Linked DNA regions of Diceros bicornis minor. The protein of the gene in region 1 binds, or shares a complex with, the protein of each later gene. Links are inferred from orthologs where the notes say so. Each region holds a gene or a part of one and is shown on either strand. Other genes may lie near its edges. The genes, in order: SMARCD2, SMARCE1 and SMARCC1.

Region 1 (5,576 bases):
CCCACCCAACGCCTGAGCCAAAGGGTTGGAACAGCTGAAGCAGTGGGACCTGCAGAGTGTGAGCTAGGGCCCTGTGGTCTCCATGAGGCTACTCACTAGGGTGTTCACAAAACCTCCTCAGCACCGCCCATGCCTCCTAGGCAGGCGCTCCGGTAACAGAAACTCCCAAGACAAGGCAGCACAAGCAGGGCCTGGAATAGGCCCCTCCCAAACATCTGCTTCCGACTTCCCAGGCGTAGAGCCCCCAGCTCACCCAGGGCCCCAGGCTTCTCCCCAGAGCGGGAAGGAGCCCAGGGGAAGGCTGCTTACAGTTCCTTTAGTCCCAGCTTGGCCTTGCCAAGCTCCACACCTGGGCTTTGAAGTACCAGTTCCTCCTCCTCTTCCAAAAAACAACCCAAGAGTTATAAGGAAAAAAAAGAACACAGCCCAGAATTCTCAGGCTCCCTAACTCCCCACCTGCAGCACAGCAGGTTAACTTGGCTCAGTGCCCTGAACCCTAGAAGTGTGTGACAACCTCCTCTCCCTTAGCCCAGCACTAGCCCACATCCTAAGCTGGACTCTATCTCCACCACCCAGGAGAGCAAAGGCAGGAGGCTGGGCCTGATGCTGCCACCTCCAGAGAGCATGCTTACCCTCCCTCAAAGCTGTGGCCCTGGTGCTCCTGGTGGCTGGCCCTCAGAGTCTACCAGAGGAGAACATACTCCTCCATAAGAAAATATTTTGAACTCTCCGGAGTGAACCCAGCAACCTGGGTCGTTTTGTTTTTGTTTTTTTTAAGCTCCTTAGTTGACTGTGATCCAGAGCTGGAACCACTGTCTAGAGGGAGAAGGGTCATCACTTCCCTTCTTTCAATAGGCTCCCCTATCTGCCCAACTTGGGCCCTGAAATCCTTGCTCTCCCAGCTCATCTCATGTGCCCTAATAGACAGAAACCCCTTTGCTCCTCAGATCTCAAGTCCCTTCTCCTGGAAGTCACACAACTGGACTTGGAAAGAAGCCAAGCAGGATCCTCCTCGAACTCAACCAAAGTGAACTGGGTCCTCCCTTTCCCCATCTACCTCTATTGCCCTCCCTAGAAGAGGAGGAGGAGAAGGCGATGAGAAGCTGGTGGGATGGGAAGCCCAGGGAAGCAGAGGCTCACTGCCTTCACCACTTTCCCCACCCCTAGGAGCCCAGGGCTACCCAGGCAGCCAGCTCAGCCTTGCCACCGGCCCAAGGCCACTCCCTACAAAGGGCTATGGAATCCAGTCTCTCAGCGGCTTTCCCTATGGCACATTTCCCACGGGTTGCAAGCTGAGGAAACTGGAGAGGCTCCTATCTGTTCCCTAGATCCTTCCCAGGCCAAAGGCGCACAGGGAGGCTCCCGGGCCAGGTCTCAGTTAGCTGGCCCAAAGACTGGAATGACCAATGCAGGGATCCCTCAGCGACACCTTGGGCCCATGAATCCCCAAGGGGAAGAGCAAGATGGGAAAAATGGACCCCAGCTGGAGTCCTTGGGACAGGCCTGTCTCTGTCAATACCTAGACCTTTTGTTTTCTTTCTAGGGAGGAGGGGGAATGAGAAGTAAGAGGGAAAAATCACTGTTCCTAGTTAAACATCTCTTTAGAAAGTGAGGGCCCAGGGGTCCTGGGGCCCATGCATACCCTACTCTAGGAATCCACTTCTGGGACCTCTACCTGGAGACATGAGGAGGAAAGAGAGGAAGCCCCAGCTTCCTTCTTTCAAACTTGCTAGAAGTCAGTGCCAAATGCTGGGGCACATGAGTTGCAATATGGCAATATCAGAACCTCAAAGCTAAATAAAAGGGGAGAGCGGGCAGGAGAAAGAATGGGTACAATTCCCAAGTATTCCGGGGCAACCAGAAACAATGGACTGGGGGACTGATGAGCCCCACCAGCAGGGTCAGGCTGAGTTCCTCACACACTGACCCTAAGGACAGAGTCTCTACCTCTCAATGATCTTTGAAGCTGCAACCTGAGAAGCTCTCTTCGCAGCCAAACCCCAAAGGGGTCAGGACAGAACCCTTTGAAGCAACTCCCGCAGGCTCCTCCAGCCCCAGACCAGCAGGGCTCCGTGGAGCCTCTCTGCTCCTCCAGACTAATCAACTCCTGGACACTATGACACTAGGCAGAAAGCCAAAAAGAGAGTCTGCCCAGAATGGGCTGGGCTTTCCTCCTTCCTTAGGGATGGCCGCTACTGTCTCTGGTCTAACCCAGAGTCATCTGGGGTGAGGGTTCCTGGGCCTGATCCAGGAGTAGACTCTCCCCTGCACCAGCTGGAGTCCCCTTGCCCTATCCTCAGTCTCCCATGCCCGTGGGAAGCCAGGCCCTTCTTCCTCATCAGCAGCTGGGAACCATCTCAGACACGCTAGAACTCTGCCAGTTCCCAACTAGAAAAAAACCAGAGCAGACTTGGAGTGGGACCAAGGTCAATGCAGGGTAACCCTGGTTCCTCAGTGAGGGCCCTTTTCCAAAACTTTCTCATCACTTCCCAGGACCCTCTACCCTAGGATCTATACACTAGACTTTCAACCCAGCCACCCACAACTCACTAGCTCCCACAACTCCTCCATCTCTCAGTTACTCAGAATCCCTGTTCCACGGAAGCCCCCAGACCCTCCCAACTGCTTCAAACACTCCACCCAGAGTCGCTCTTACCTTCTCTCTCCCAACTCCTCCACCACCACCACCTAGCCGAGCCTGAGGATCCCTGGCCTTGCCCTCCACCGTGTCCTGCTCCGCATGCAGGGCCCCTGTGCCCTCTCTCCAAGAGGCTGCCCCAGGGCCCTCACTCGACGCCCCTCCACCCCCTGCACCCGGCGTGCTCGCGGCGCCACCCACCCGTCCGCCCTCCTCACCTGGTACTGCGCCGCGGGGCCCGCGGGGCCCATGGGGCGGAAGGCGGCGGCTCCGGGGCCCCCTACGCCTCCAGCCGGCCCTGGCCCCCTGAGAGCCGGTCCGGGCAGCATGCCGGGTCCCGCTGGCGGAGGCGGCGCTCCCAGGGCCGCGGCAACCGCGCCGCCGCCAGGGCTCAGCGGGGGCAGCGGGAACCCGCCCGCGCCACGGCCCGACATCGCTCCGTCCCGTCCGGCGGTGTCGCGATCCGGACTCCGGGCTCCGCGCCGAGTCCGCTCCGAGATCCGTGCTCCGGGACTTTCCGATCTAAATTCCGGGTTCTGCGGTTTGTAGATCCGAGTTCCGGGATTTCCTAATCCAAGTTCACGAGTTCCTCACAGACCCGGTTTGGGGCAGGGTTGATCCTGATTCCGGTCCTGCCCGGGAAATTCCGGATCCGGGATCTGCTACGGGCCCGCTTGCCGCCCCCGGCCTCCGGAGGTTTGGCCGCCTGAGTCCAGTTACCCAGAGGCGGCAACTAACTCCCTGCCCCGCCCAACCCAGCCCAGCGCTAGGCCCCGCCTATACCCAGCAGCCCAATGCTAGGGTGCCTCCTCAAATCCCGCCCCTCGCGAGACCCGCCCCTAACAGGCACCGTCCCTAACCGTCGGCCCCATAGCCCCGCCCACACCCTTCGGCCCAACCCTTCGCGGGAGGGGCGGGGGCGGAAGCTGCGCACGGAGACGCCGAGCAAGGCGCGGGGCCAGAGGTCGAAGGTCGCTTAGGGCTTCGACAGTGCGTACGGTAGGTAGTTGCTGCTCTCTACTCGGCGTAGGCAACTCGGCAAGTTACCCGGCCACGCTTCTTGAAAATAGTTTTGTCAAGTCTGCTTTCTACATTTTTAACATTAAAGATTCAACTCAGAGCTGCTCTCGGGGGGCAGAACAGCCACCGACTTGACTTGCTTTAAAAACCCGTCTTGGTGGCTCTGACCTGCCAAGGCATATGGGCTGCTCCAGACCCGATCCAGCTGTGTGAACGGTTGACTTGGCCAAGAGCCGAGTTCTTATCGCATATTTTTAAAGTGGCTGTGCCTCACTTTAAGGAAGCCTAGGATTTGACTCCACAGGAAATGTTTCTAGGCGAAGGAATTTTTGCATGATGAGAAACCTCCCTGCAATTAAATAAGGTCTTTCTCCAGGATTTATAGCACTTAATTTTCAAAAATTTAATACCTTTTCAGAAACCACTGTCCTGTATCAGAAGGTATTCAAAATAAAGTGCTTTAGCTATGCCAGGGGTCTGGAGTTTTCTCCTCATGATATAAACCAGTGCTTCTTAAAATTTAATGAGCATAACAAACATCTGGGGCTCTTATTAAAAATGCAGATTATGATTCAAGAGGCCTGGGGTCTGGGGTAAGGCTCAAGATTTTGCATTTCTAACAAGCTCCCCAGCAATGCTGTCGCTACTCAGACAATACTTTTGAGTAGGCAAGATAGAGACTTTTCCACTATATAAATCCCCTGCCTATGTTCTCATTTCCATTTCATTCTTGCACCATTCTTGCACCATTCAGCACCCTAGATCCAGCTTATAGTACAGTCCTCCAACCGTTTTTAGAAATTAGTTCTGCTCATCTATACTTCCTGCTATCTTTCCTCCAGTGATAAACCCTGTTGCTGCTGCTTTCCTGCCTCTCCGTCTTCTCAGAGATCCCTCTCCTCTTTCTCCCTAAAAATGGGTTGTCAGTCTGAGAACAGGCCACTGGAATTGTTATAGTCATTGAACTAGGGCCCCTCCCCACCTCTGTAAGGTGGGTAAAGAATTCATGATAAAGCAGTTAATGTCCATTTTGACCTTTTCCAGCTCCTAGAGCAACAGTAGTGCTAGAGGAAGTAGTATGGGCGAATCCCCTGGGGGCTTCCAAAATTTCCCTGCCAGCCACATCCCTACACACACACACAGTCCAATGGCTCCCAGTGTTGTATTTTAAAAATAAGCCTCCCAGGTAATTCTGATACAATTCTCCCTGTAGATTTACTCTAGAAAAGAGGCAAGCTAATAGGTGCATTTAAAAATGGATAAAACAGTTAAATGTAATTTGTCTATTAATCTGTTGCTTAAAATGCTTCCCAGCTCCTCATTGCTTAGATTGAACATCATACTTCCTCTCATGAGATGTAAGGTTCTGCAGGGCCTGACTCCGGCTTACCTCCTTGGGCTCATTTTAAATCACTGCCTTGGGCCGGCCCCATGATGTAGGGGTTAATTTCTGTGAGCTCCGCTTCAGCAGCCCAGGTTCGCAGGCCCGGCTTCTGGGCATTGACCTACACTACTTGTCAGCCATCCTGTGGCAGCAACCCACCTACAAAATAGAGGCAGATTGGCACAGATGGTGGCTCAGGGCAAATCTTCCTCAGCAAAAAAAAAAAAAAAAAAAAAAATCACTGCCTTTGGTTCTCTGAGAGTCAGTCCAGAGGTTCTCCTGACAATTTCTCAAACTGCTAAACCCCTTCCCACCTCAGAGCCTCTTTGCCCCCAGCTCTTCCTTAACTTTTCCACTGTCTCCCCTTAGTTTACTTCCCACCAAGTGATTATCACAATATGTAATTATTTGTTTATGTATGCACTGGTTTACTGTCTGATAAACTCTATGAAGGCAGAAAGTGTCTTTTTCTCTTTTTATTTTTTATTGAGGTGAGAGTCACATAACATAAAATTAACCATTTTAAAGTGAACA
Region 2 (5,576 bases), about 6.6 Mb from region 1:
AACTAGTTGACAACTATTATTTAGATGCTTTGAAACATATCAATTCCCAAACCAATAGAATATTATTTATGGAGTGGAATAAAATTCAATAGCAGGATCTGACCCACAGATAATGAAATCCTTACTTGAACAGCTTGAAAATAAAGATTTACAATGAGTGTTATTCTAGAACTGGAAGCTTTATTGTTTAACACGAAAATTATATATAGACAAGGAGAGAAAAATGTAACCAGTTGAAGGTTAGGTTTAAAAATAATAATAAATGCCAGAATGAGTATTCATTCAATATCAACCTGAAAGACTCTTAACGGAGATCAATAAGAAAGAAGTGTTAACTTCTCCCTTATTTCCCATTAAAAAAAGAACTGAGCAGGAGGTTGGCATTTCAGCAGTATGTTTCTTTAAATGTTGGGGTTGGTCAAGGTAAGATGCAGAGTTATTTTATTTAGTAGGAAGTGCTGTTTTTTAGCTGAGTTTTTCATCCTGTTGCTGTGATGACTGAGTGACTGTCACTGGAAGACATCTGGGTTTTTGTATCAAGGCCAGACTTGGCTATTACATTAACAAGAAAATTAAAACTTACTGTTGCAGGAGCTGGGGTGGGAGGTGGGGCATAAGATGGTCTTTCTGTTTGAAAGAAAATAAATAACTTCTTGTAAACAACTGAGATATAATACTATGCAACAAAACTACCAATGGTCCTGTTTTGAAGAAAAAAAATGAGAGTATTTTGGAATTCCCATTTGCTAGGGCATTAGTTTCTTATTAATATAGGTTGATAAATATAAAAAATGAAACTTACTTGACATTTTGGAAGATTAAGTTCTCAGTTCCTTAAGAATGAATCTGAGACACTAAAATAAAAAAAAGAAAAAAAAAGAAAAAAAATGAGAATCAAAACTCAGCAAGCATAAGAGAATGTTTTCCTAAAGAATAGGGTAGTTTATAAGTGGTATTTCTTAGTAAAATTACTTTACATTGTCTTCTAGTAATCAAGTATTTGCATATTTTAGTAATTCTTTAGGTCATTTGGTTCAACAGAATTAAATGACTAAAATTACTGGGGATATTAAAAGTAATATTAGACACGTACTTTCAAGTTTTTCTTATGATACTGAGCCACCTCTTGTACGGAAAACATTTTATGGATGCCATGTAAACATTTAACCAGACTGATAAAAATTTAATGACAACAGAATGACGTATTATCAGGGCCCACTCCAACAAGGCCTACCAGATACCGACAGCCCCCACTCAGCAGCAGCTCTACCTTCCTTTTAGAATAACAACTCCTATTAAATGGAGCAGTATTTGATTCCTGGAGGTAGTGCAAAAGGTAATTGGTATGATAATGCCCTTTACATTCTCTTATAGAGGTAAACAGCTTTGTAACTGCTGGGAATAAATTTTGAGAGTCTACCTGAAAAACTCTTACAAAGCCTTCATAGTCCATTTCAAAATATATCTACTCAATGGAGCTTTCTTGATAAACTACCTGGGCAAAATTAATTGCTTCCTCATCTGTACACCTACTCAATTTACATAGGTCTATGATATTGTTTACTATATCGTATTATACCTGTTCATATGGCTAGATCGTACGCTGCCTGGGAACAGCAACAATTTAATTGATTACTGTAGTCCCAGGACCTAGCTCAATTCTTCATAAATTTTGTCCTAGTATTTACCAGTTCATAACATGACCGTACCCACATGAGCTTACATCAATATACATCACACACAGTGCGTACAAAGAGACATTCATTTTTAGAAAAAAGGCAAATAACTTCTATGACTACTGGCACTTTCATCCAACATTATGTGAAACAAACAGAATTTTTTTGCCTCTATGTTGCATTTTAAGAGACTTCCCTGGAGCATAAGGAATAAGAGGCCTGCTGTGGAAAGAAACAGTTTATTTTCTCAGTGGCCCAACCTGGGCCCTCTTTCCTTAAGGAACGGGCAGAAACCATTGATTCTAGTGGAAATCTGCACATTCAGGGAGCTGTCAACACCCCGTTGGCCTTGCTGTGGGGAAGCCCTGACAATGTCCGCCACAAGATCCTTAATACGTCACACTTCATTGTTTAACGCTTTAAAATAATTGCTCTCCTTCGCTGTACTATAAATTCTTAAGGGTGGGCTTGTACATTTACCCACCAGTGGATCCATCCTCGGCGCCTGGCATAAAATACTAGATAAGCATTTGTTGAGTCCCTTACACGGGACAGGCTTATTACCTACACTACCTCGTCTGACAGTCACAACTACCACGGAGATATGTACTGCCACTCCTATTTACGGATGAAACAAGAGAGTCTCGGCGAGTTTAAGTAACTTGTCTAAAGACACACTGCCAGGAAGTGCCAGAGCTGGGTTTTAAACCCAGGCCAAATGGTTGCAGAGCTTTCGCTCTTCCCTCGAAGCCACACCGCGAGCCCTCGGGTCTCTGCCTGAACCAAGGGGAAACCACCTTCCTGGGGGTGAGGACCACGGGCTTGGCTAGTCCCAGGCGCTTCCTCTGAGATCCTTTCCATTAGGTTTGTCGTGGAGGCTACACTTCACCAGCAACTCCACCAAAGGGGGGTATGCACAGGTGCTCTGACCAGTTCCGCGGCGTTAGTGGAAGGGGCAAATCTTGCCGCCAAGGAGGGGCCCCAGATGGGACTCCCTCCCAACCCTCGCTCCGCTAGGCCTCAAGGAGGCCGCAAGCGGCCCCCAGCTCTGGCCCCGCGGCCAAGCCTGAACCCCAGCAAACCCCGGGAGCTCGGGGTCCAGCCGAGCCGGGACACCGCGACTTGCCACCCGTCCCCCCCACCCCCCGACCCGGCCAAGCCCGGTTGGAAACACTCACCCGCGGGCAGAAAACGCGCCCGCAGCTCCAGCCTCGCTTCCCTTTGTCCCTCGCAGGCCCCGCCCCTCGCGGCGGAGCTTCCGCACTCGCACTTTCAACACTCGGCTGAATGTCTCTCCGGGTCCCCCCGACTCTCTTTAGAAAAATAAACTTTCTATTGAGGACGCGGTGAGGCTTCCTACGGCCAAGGATTTTTTTCAGGCCCCATACGTTCCTCAAACCTCCCGAATGCGGTACCTTCCCGGGCGGCGCCGATTCGTCACGGCGGCGAGGGCGGAGAGGCCCGACCGCGGGATGGGCCCGGGTGCGGCGGCCGTGAGGGGCTGAAGCGCCGGCGGGGGACGCGCCGAGGGGCCGTGGGAGCCGCGCGCGGGCCCGGAAGACGGCGGGGTCGCCCCGACCTGAGGCCCCGGAACCACTGCGGCCTCGCGGCCCGCGCCACTCGGCCACGCTCCGCGCCCGCCCCGCGGGTTTTGTTTGTTTCCCCCCTGGTCCCTTTCTTTCCTCTTTCGCCCTGAGAAAGCCGGGCATGGAGTCGTGGAGGACCCGGCTGGCGGGTTTTTCGCCTCCACCAGCGCCTTGCAGGACGTCCTGCCGGAACCGGCCGGCATTATCCTTGGCGAAAAGCGACACGCACTTTTTCAGGTTTTGCAACCGCGAGTGTGGGGTCCTTGCCACAGGCTTCTGAGCCAAGGCCCAGAGGTGTCAATCCCCTTGGCCCGGGTGGTGGGCCCTGGCGACACTGGTCTCCGCCCAGCGCGGCCTGGGCTCATTCGGTTCCCTCCCCGGGAACGACTGTCCCCCACTTTCAGCTTAAACTCACTCCATCCCCGCTCGCCCCCCAATCCTTCCCCTGAACTCGCACGGTTCTTTGATAACTTGATAGTAGTCTCTACCCCATTCGTTGTATACTCATGAATAGAGATTAGTGAAATTGAAGAGCATAGTGAAGGGAAAGACTAAAAGAGAGGTCATCCAAGGATAACAGGCAGCTTGAGTGGTGCTTGAGATAATGTACATGAAAGTGCTTTTTTTAATATAAAAGCATCAGAGACGGAAAGGATTAATGTAAGATACACGAAGGCCTCAGCAGGGATCCCAGGACCTTCTTTCTCCTGCCTTGTCCAGCACCTACAGCCTGGTTTCTTCCTTGCCTTTGAGGTTATGGTGGAGCATTGGGCACGTGAGGTGCAGGGGCAGATGCTCCCTTGTGTCATCTCTAGGCAGTCCTCTTGAAGAAAAGCCGCAGGTGCTGGATGTTAGGAACAAAGCTCACTGTAGTGAGAAAGGCGTGGCACAAAAATGGTGAAAAAGGAAAGGAGGAGATCTGAGTGAAGCAGTGACATTGATGCACTTTCTCACCTCCTGGTCTTTACTCAAATGTCACCTCGGTAGGTCGTTGCTGACCTATTTAAAATTGCAACTCATTCTCCAACCTCCACTCGATTCGTGGTCTGTGCTTTGTTTTTTCTGTAGCACTTACCACCCAATGTAGTATATTTATTATGTATTTGTTTTGTTGTCTTTTTCTTTCCATCAGAATGAAAGCTCTTTGAGGGTGGGGATTTTTGACCTCTGAAACAGTGCGTGGTACATTCAGGTGCTCAATATTTGTGGAATGAGTAAATGAATGGCCATCTCATTTTCCTCCCTTTGGTTCTTCACTCCCAAAGATTTGCAAAATTAAGAAAGGAAGAAAAGAGGCAAAATATAATACGGAAAAAAACCTCTTCCCTAGTCCTGAAGAAATTAAGACTGCAGAGTGAAATGTCTGAGTTATTAGTTTGTTTTTTCCCCAAGCAAACGTCAGAACATATGATCTTGCATGTACAGGGATGTTGATGGGAACCACAGGACAGACTTTTGGAACAGTGCTTATTCCTGGAAAATATGGGATGCCTCCTTAATATGACTATTTAAATGATATGTAACTCTCAAGGTTGTTGGGAGCCCTCACAGGGGCCTTGCTGTGAACTGCAGAGATAGTCTTAGACCCAGGGAGTTTAGTTTCCTTCCTGGCAGCGAGATCCAGGAAGTTGACCTGCTTTCCTCTCTGACAGTACTCATACTTCCTTGAGGTTCTCCTTCCTCCAAAACAGGGAAGCCAAAACTAGTAAGTGATTAAGCTAGGATTCAAGCCCAGGTCTCTTTGATTTCTTTCCATAGTACTGTGGGAAGAAGCTGGGGAGTGAGATGGAATTAGGGGTGGAAAGAGAACCATCCCTGTGAGGGAAGGAGAAAAAGGAGAAAATGGGAGACAACAAGGAAAAACCCACAGTCCTTGGACACCTAGTAGTCCATGAATTGGCTCTAGGAGGTCTATGAACCCTTTAAAATTGTACACAATTTTTATGTGCTTCCCCCCCCCCCCCCCCCCAGATAGAGGGTTAGTACTTTAACAGATTTTCGAAGAGGTCTTGACTCAAGAAAGATTTTGAACCAACCACTGAGCCATGCAGTTTTCTGTAGTGTGTTCTAAAGAAGCTTTCTGAAATGAATTTTTTTCCCTTAAAATAGGGAAAGACAGGACAGAACTCTGGCTGAGCTGAATAGCCTCTAAAAGTCTGGTTGTAGGCAAAATGGTGGAATAGGCTGATTTTCTCAGCTGTTTCTGTGAAAGCAGAAGTTATGGGTATTCAGTTCTATTGCTAGAAATGGTTGTGAAATATCGAAGCCCAGCAGATTTCCAGGGCAGAGTGGATTCACAATGTTTTGTAGAATT
Region 3 (5,576 bases), on another chromosome or scaffold:
GCTGATCTTCCTCACAAAAAAGCAAAAAAAAATTAACTATTTAACTGTCTTTAACTGTTAAATAATTTATGTAAAGGACATTGAAGTGCCTCCCTTATGAAATCTAGTCTATTTTAGTGATCATTCTTAAATCTAAATCATCCTGAAATCTTAAATCTTATTTCAGGAATAAACCAAACTTCAATTTACCTGGAAGAAATTTACCTGGGAACCTAAATGGCTTACAGATATACTTCACCTCCAAGGTATCTGAGCTGAATCAATTTGAGATCAGTAAGGTTTTATCATCTAAAAACCACTCAGAAACTATGGACAGAAATATGGCTCTCATCTTTATCAGAGTTAGGGTGAAAGATATGTACGCAACAATACAAAGAAGGCAGCTTAGGTAGGATATGAACAAGCTTCTGCACTGCTTCCAGACTTAAAATGCAACCTCAGGCAAAGAGTTAACCTCCCTGTGCTTCAGCTTCCCCTCACCTACAGTGGTCACCTCCTCTGAACTCCTTTGGCCTAGCTGAAGCTCATCCCAGTCAAAAAGTATTCACTCTCCCTTCTGTGTTGCTAAGTCAAATTTATCAACAAAGCCTAAATGAACAGGTTCCTAGACTAATTAATCTGTTCACTCATTGAGCAAATATTTGCTGAGCACCTACTAAGAGCATTTAGAAAACAATACAAAGAAGTTCTCTTTTAATCTGAGATGACCTGGATTTTACAAGTAAGTGTCTATATCTATCTTTTCCACCACATTGTGACTTCCTTAAAGAGAGAGATTATGTGTAGCAATAAAAAAAAAAAATTGGGGTTTGGAGCTAGACAGACCTTCATCTAACCCCGTATCTACCACTCCTAACTGTAATCTTAGAGAAGTTACTTAAATCTGGAGCCTCAGGTTCCTCTCACGTGTAAAATGAAGTAAATAACATCTATTCAGGAAATAATATCAATACCAAATACCAAATTGATATCAAACAATATCAATATAATATTATTCAGGACTGTGGTGAGGATTTGAATTATGCTTTAAGTGCCCAGATATGGGAGATGTTCAGTTGCTCATGAAATGTATGGACAAACCCATCAAAAAAAATGCGACTGCCAACGTCATGTTTCTTTCATATGGTCGCTGAGATGTATGATTCTGAAAATGAAGTATTAGATGCAATAGAAAAGTTTAGTTAAAACCCATCAATCTCGGGCCGGCCCCGTGGCTTAGCGGTTAAGTGCGTGCGCTCCGATGCAGGTGGCCCGGGTTCGGATCCCGGGTGCACACAGACACACTGCTTCTCCAGCCACGCTGAGGCCGCGTCCCACATACAGCAACTAGAAGAATGTGCAACTATGACATACAACTATCTACTGGGGCTTTGGAGGAAAAATAAATAAATAAATAAAATTTAAAACCCATCAATCTGTACACCAAGTAGAGATATACTGTGTACAAAAGAAGCAAAGAAACTTCTGGTTAATACTTTCACCACTCCAACACCACTCTCAGAGGCTGACAGGATTCTAGCTGCCAGACTTAAGGGATATACAATTCTGAATTTGAGTAGGCCCAAGAAATATACTCTGGCTTTATGAAACCCTGAGAAGTCAAACCTAACTTTGTCTTTAAGGCCTTAGCGACACTAAGCCAAGATTAGCCTACTGGCTTCAACACTCTGGAACATATCCCTCAGTCAGCCTCACAGCCACTTCTTCACCCACCCAAACAAATCTCGGAAGGCTTATCCAAGCCTAAAGCTGACCTCTTAAAAAACTGGGCCCAAAGAGATGCACACGGAGTTTGGAGAGATAGAAATGACTATTATTTCCTTTTTCTTTTCCATTCCTTGATATCCAAAGGAATATTACTCCTGAGTATTTTTCTTTGTTAAAGCTATATTGATAAAGTAATACAATATTACATGTCAATTATATCTCAATAAAAGCAGGGGAAAAAAATCCAGACTGGGGGAATAAAAAAACTACATTAAAGTACATTGAATTTAAGACCCAAAGCATTGGCTGAAAGGCACTTGACAAAAAATAATTAATACTTTTAGAATATAAATATATTCAAGTCCCTTAGCCACTTCCAGAAGCTCTACTGCCTACACAAAAAAGTGACCAATATATCACTGTACAAGGAAGAGCAATATTCCTGTCTACTTACATGTAGAGGAGAAAAGTCTACAGTCCCAAATGTGACTCCAAAATTTCAGGGGGAAAAAAGTCAAAGCATCTAAAAATACATCGTAAGTAAAAATATATGTTGTCTCTCACTTCCTAAAACTTCAGGTAAGAATAGTCATTTCTTAAAGTGTAATGTCAAAGGAACCTAAGATTCCTGTCCTTGTCTACTTCCAAAAGTTGGCAGGCTTCACTGAACTGCAGACCCCAAATGAACAGGTTCCTAGAGTACATTACCTTTTCATTCATTCAACAAATATTTACAAAGCAACTACTAAGGGCGAGGCAATGAGTACCAACCATGTTCCAAGACACATTGTAGTGAACAGGCCTGACAAGGTCCCTGTCCCAGTGCCACCGTCTTCAATGGGGGAAGCACAGAACTGAAAAGGGTGTTCCAGAAATTTGGGGGCAGAGGGAAGTATTTTCGGCTGTCTGCTTCATTACACCTTCTAAGGGAGTCATTCCTAAATATTTACATGAAGAGGAAGTTAAGAAACATTTGTTATAAACAAGAGGTTAAGTCACAACTTTCAATACCACTGACTCAGCAGAACTTACATTCCAAAGGTAGGAGAAACAGATAAAGCAAAAATAATCTCAAAAAGTGGTACAAAGAAAATAAAGGTGATATGAAGTGGGGTGATCTACTATAAATGGGGTTCTCAGGGAAGGCCTGAGAAACACATCAGGTACAAGTGAACACTAACTCTTCTACTATCACCAATCATAACCAAAAGTACTATGAAGTAAAAACCGTCGCTTTATAATATTAGCTCTCATCAATACTATAATTCATTATATTAACTTGCTGTTATTAACTTCCAAGTACAATCGTTCACAGTCCTTTAGCAAATCAATAACAGGTAGTAAAATCTTAGCTTACCTGACTTCGAAGACTAGTCTCTAAACAAACTTGAAGCTGCTTTTACAGCTCCGGCTCAGACAGTTTTTAATAATCACTGTTCACACACCTAATGCAGCTAACAAAAGAGAAAGATTCCGAGCCTCCGGGTTGCTGAGGTCGACCTGTTCCTACATACTGGGGTGAGCAGGGGCTTTCGCCCGGGGTGCGTGGGCTCCAAGGAGACGAGCCGCGGGAGCTCCGGGGAGCCCCGGGCCGCGGGCGCCCAAAGCGGACGGCGGGGGCGTGGCGGGCCCCGCGCCGGCCTTTGTTGTCCCTCGTGGCGCGCGGGGGGAAGGGCGGCCGGAGGCCCGCGAGGCCAGTAGCCGCCCCCGGGCCCCGTCGCGTGGCCTCCCGGCTCCCACGGGCGCGCGAACCCACCTTCTTGTAGTGCTTGCCCAGCCAGACCCGCACCGCATCCAGCTGGGACACCGTCTCCGGGCTCTCCCAAAACTTGCTGGCCGGGCCCCCGTCCTTCCGCCGATAGACGGCCAGGCCTGCGGCCGCCGCCGCTGCGCCTCCCGCACCCGCAGCGCCTGCCGCCGCCCCCAGCCCGCCGCCGCCCACCGCCGCGGCCATTCTCGCCGTCCGCCGTCCCCACCACCCAGCCCACCCCGGCCCTCGCCGCGTTCCCCGTTCGCACCCGCGCGCGCGCGCAGCTGCCACCGCCGCTTCCCGGCCCCGCCCAGCCAACCCCCTTCCGGCGCGGAGGCCCGACCCCGCCCCCTCTCGGGACCGGCGCCCTAACCGACGAGGGCACGCGCACACGCATGCGCAGTGCTCGCGCCAGGCGGGCCTCGGGGGAGCGCCTCCACCCGCCTCTTCCGCCATCTGCGGCGGCTTGCTCGACCTCTCCGCTGCCGAGCCTCCGCCTCTGCGCGTCTGGCTGTTTCCGGGGTTCCTGCGTCGGATCGTTGGCGGTCAACAACTGCATGGAGGTTCCCTGTCATCGGCTGCCACTGCCGGAGAGAAAAGGGCTGGTGTGAGAAGTTCCAGAGAGAAAGCCCGTTTAGGGTGTCGAGTGGCGGCAGAGGAACCCGCGAGCGGGTGGGAATGTGCGCCTGCCCTCGCTTACCCATACCTTCTACACAAAGTGGCCGTGTCAGCCTTTGTAGTCACTCACCTGGGACTACCACTCGGAGCTTCTTCGGCCTCACAGCCTTTCTGCCCCTCATGGCTCTAGCCGCACCAGCTCATTCCTGCCTCGGAGCCATCGCGCCAGCTGTTCCCGCGACCTGGACAGCTCTTCCCCTCTAATTGTCACTTAGGCGCTTTCAAATTCATAGCTTAAAGGTACTTTAGAAAAGCAAACCCTGACCATACAATCTTGAACAGGTAGTCATACTCACTGGACATTCTCTATGTAGCACTTACCACGACCTAGTATTTTTCTTTTCTTACTTATCGTCCACATAAATTAAATGAGAACTTAGTCTTGACTTGTTCACAGACGTACCCTCAGTGCTGGGAACAGGGCCTGTTATCTAATACATGTTCAATAAATATTTGATGAATGAATGGATGACGTACACAGGCAGAAAGGTTATAAATTATTAACGAAATATGATTGCCAATTATGAAGTTATGAACATAATGCTATATGACCCCAGAACAGCACGTGACTAATTGCTTGTGAGAAAGCCTGGTGAGTTTTTGAGACCAACTTTTAAGAGTGAACAGAATGTGATCAGGGAGGAAAGGACATTTCACACACATGAAAACAAGTGGAACAAAGGGTAATGCGCAAGTGTGAAAGCATGCTTGGTGCAACTCTCCATAAGACCATGGGATGGAAGCAGAGATGTTACTTGGTTGTGGCAATGATTTTGACTTTATCCTGTAAGCATTGAGAAACCATCTTGAACAGAGAGAATGACATGATCAGATTTATAGATTACGAAGATAATTGCAGCAGTGTGAATGATAGGAGGAAGAAAGAATAGAGAAAAGATGAACTGGTAACAGTCTAGGACAGAAACAATGAGAATGTAAGTAAGATATGGATCTTGCCCTCTAAGAGCTCAGACTTCAGAAATAATGATAATAGCGGGTGTCATGGAACACTGTGCCATGCTCTGTGCTGAGTACACCTACATTACTGCAGATAAGAAAATTGAGGCAGAGAGAGGTCAAGTAACTGGCTAGCAAATATATATTAGAGTCAGGTTTTTGAACTCAGGAATTAGATCCTGGAGTACTATTCCCCTCTCTTCCCAAGGACAATGTTTTCTACTAATAGTGTGTGAGTAGAGCAAAGAAACCACACTGGAAGAGTTCAGAAAGCTATTTCATTTTCTGGAGCCATTAGATCCTCCAGGGTGGTGTTCCAACATTTTTGTTCAAAAAAATTCTAAAATAATTTGGAAAACGATATACTTTCTTCTTTTAGAAAAACATCTAAAATTTTTCATCAAAAATTAAATAGTTGAAGGGCCCGGCCCGGTGGCATATCGGTTAAGTGTGCACACTAGGCTGCGGCGGCCAGGGTTCGGAT

Evidence for each region.
Region 2: SMARCD2 (region 1) and SMARCE1 share a complex: the UniProt entries of both Homo sapiens proteins name them as parts of the BAF complex. The link is inferred for Diceros bicornis minor from reciprocal best matches to the Homo sapiens genes SMARCD2 and SMARCE1.
Region 3: SMARCD2 (region 1) and SMARCC1 share a complex: the UniProt entries of both Homo sapiens proteins name them as parts of the BAF complex. The link is inferred for Diceros bicornis minor from reciprocal best matches to the Homo sapiens genes SMARCD2 and SMARCC1.

The regions. Positions count from the first base shown.
Region 1 is NC_080757.1:46,662,212-46,667,787, forward strand, and holds the start of SMARCD2 (SWI/SNF-related matrix-associated actin-dependent regulator of chromatin subfamily D member 2), read right to left. Parts: upstream 3,381-5,576; 5' UTR 3,073-3,380; coding exon 2,857-3,072; intron 1-2,856. UniProt on the Homo sapiens protein: Involved in transcriptional activation and repression of select genes by chromatin remodeling (alteration of DNA-nucleosome topology).
Region 2 is NC_080757.1:40,093,501-40,099,076, forward strand, and holds the start of SMARCE1 (SWI/SNF-related matrix-associated actin-dependent regulator of chromatin subfamily E member 1), read right to left. Parts: upstream 2,959-5,576; 5' UTR 2,855-2,958; intron 855-2,854; 5' UTR 810-854; coding exon 803-809; intron 628-802; coding exon 584-627; intron 1-583. UniProt on the Homo sapiens protein: Involved in transcriptional activation and repression of select genes by chromatin remodeling (alteration of DNA-nucleosome topology).
Region 3 is NC_080741.1:49,080,104-49,085,679, forward strand, and holds the start of SMARCC1 (SWI/SNF complex subunit SMARCC1), read right to left. Parts: upstream 3,671-5,576; 5' UTR 3,662-3,670; coding exon 3,464-3,661; intron 1-3,463. UniProt on the Homo sapiens protein: Involved in transcriptional activation and repression of select genes by chromatin remodeling (alteration of DNA-nucleosome topology).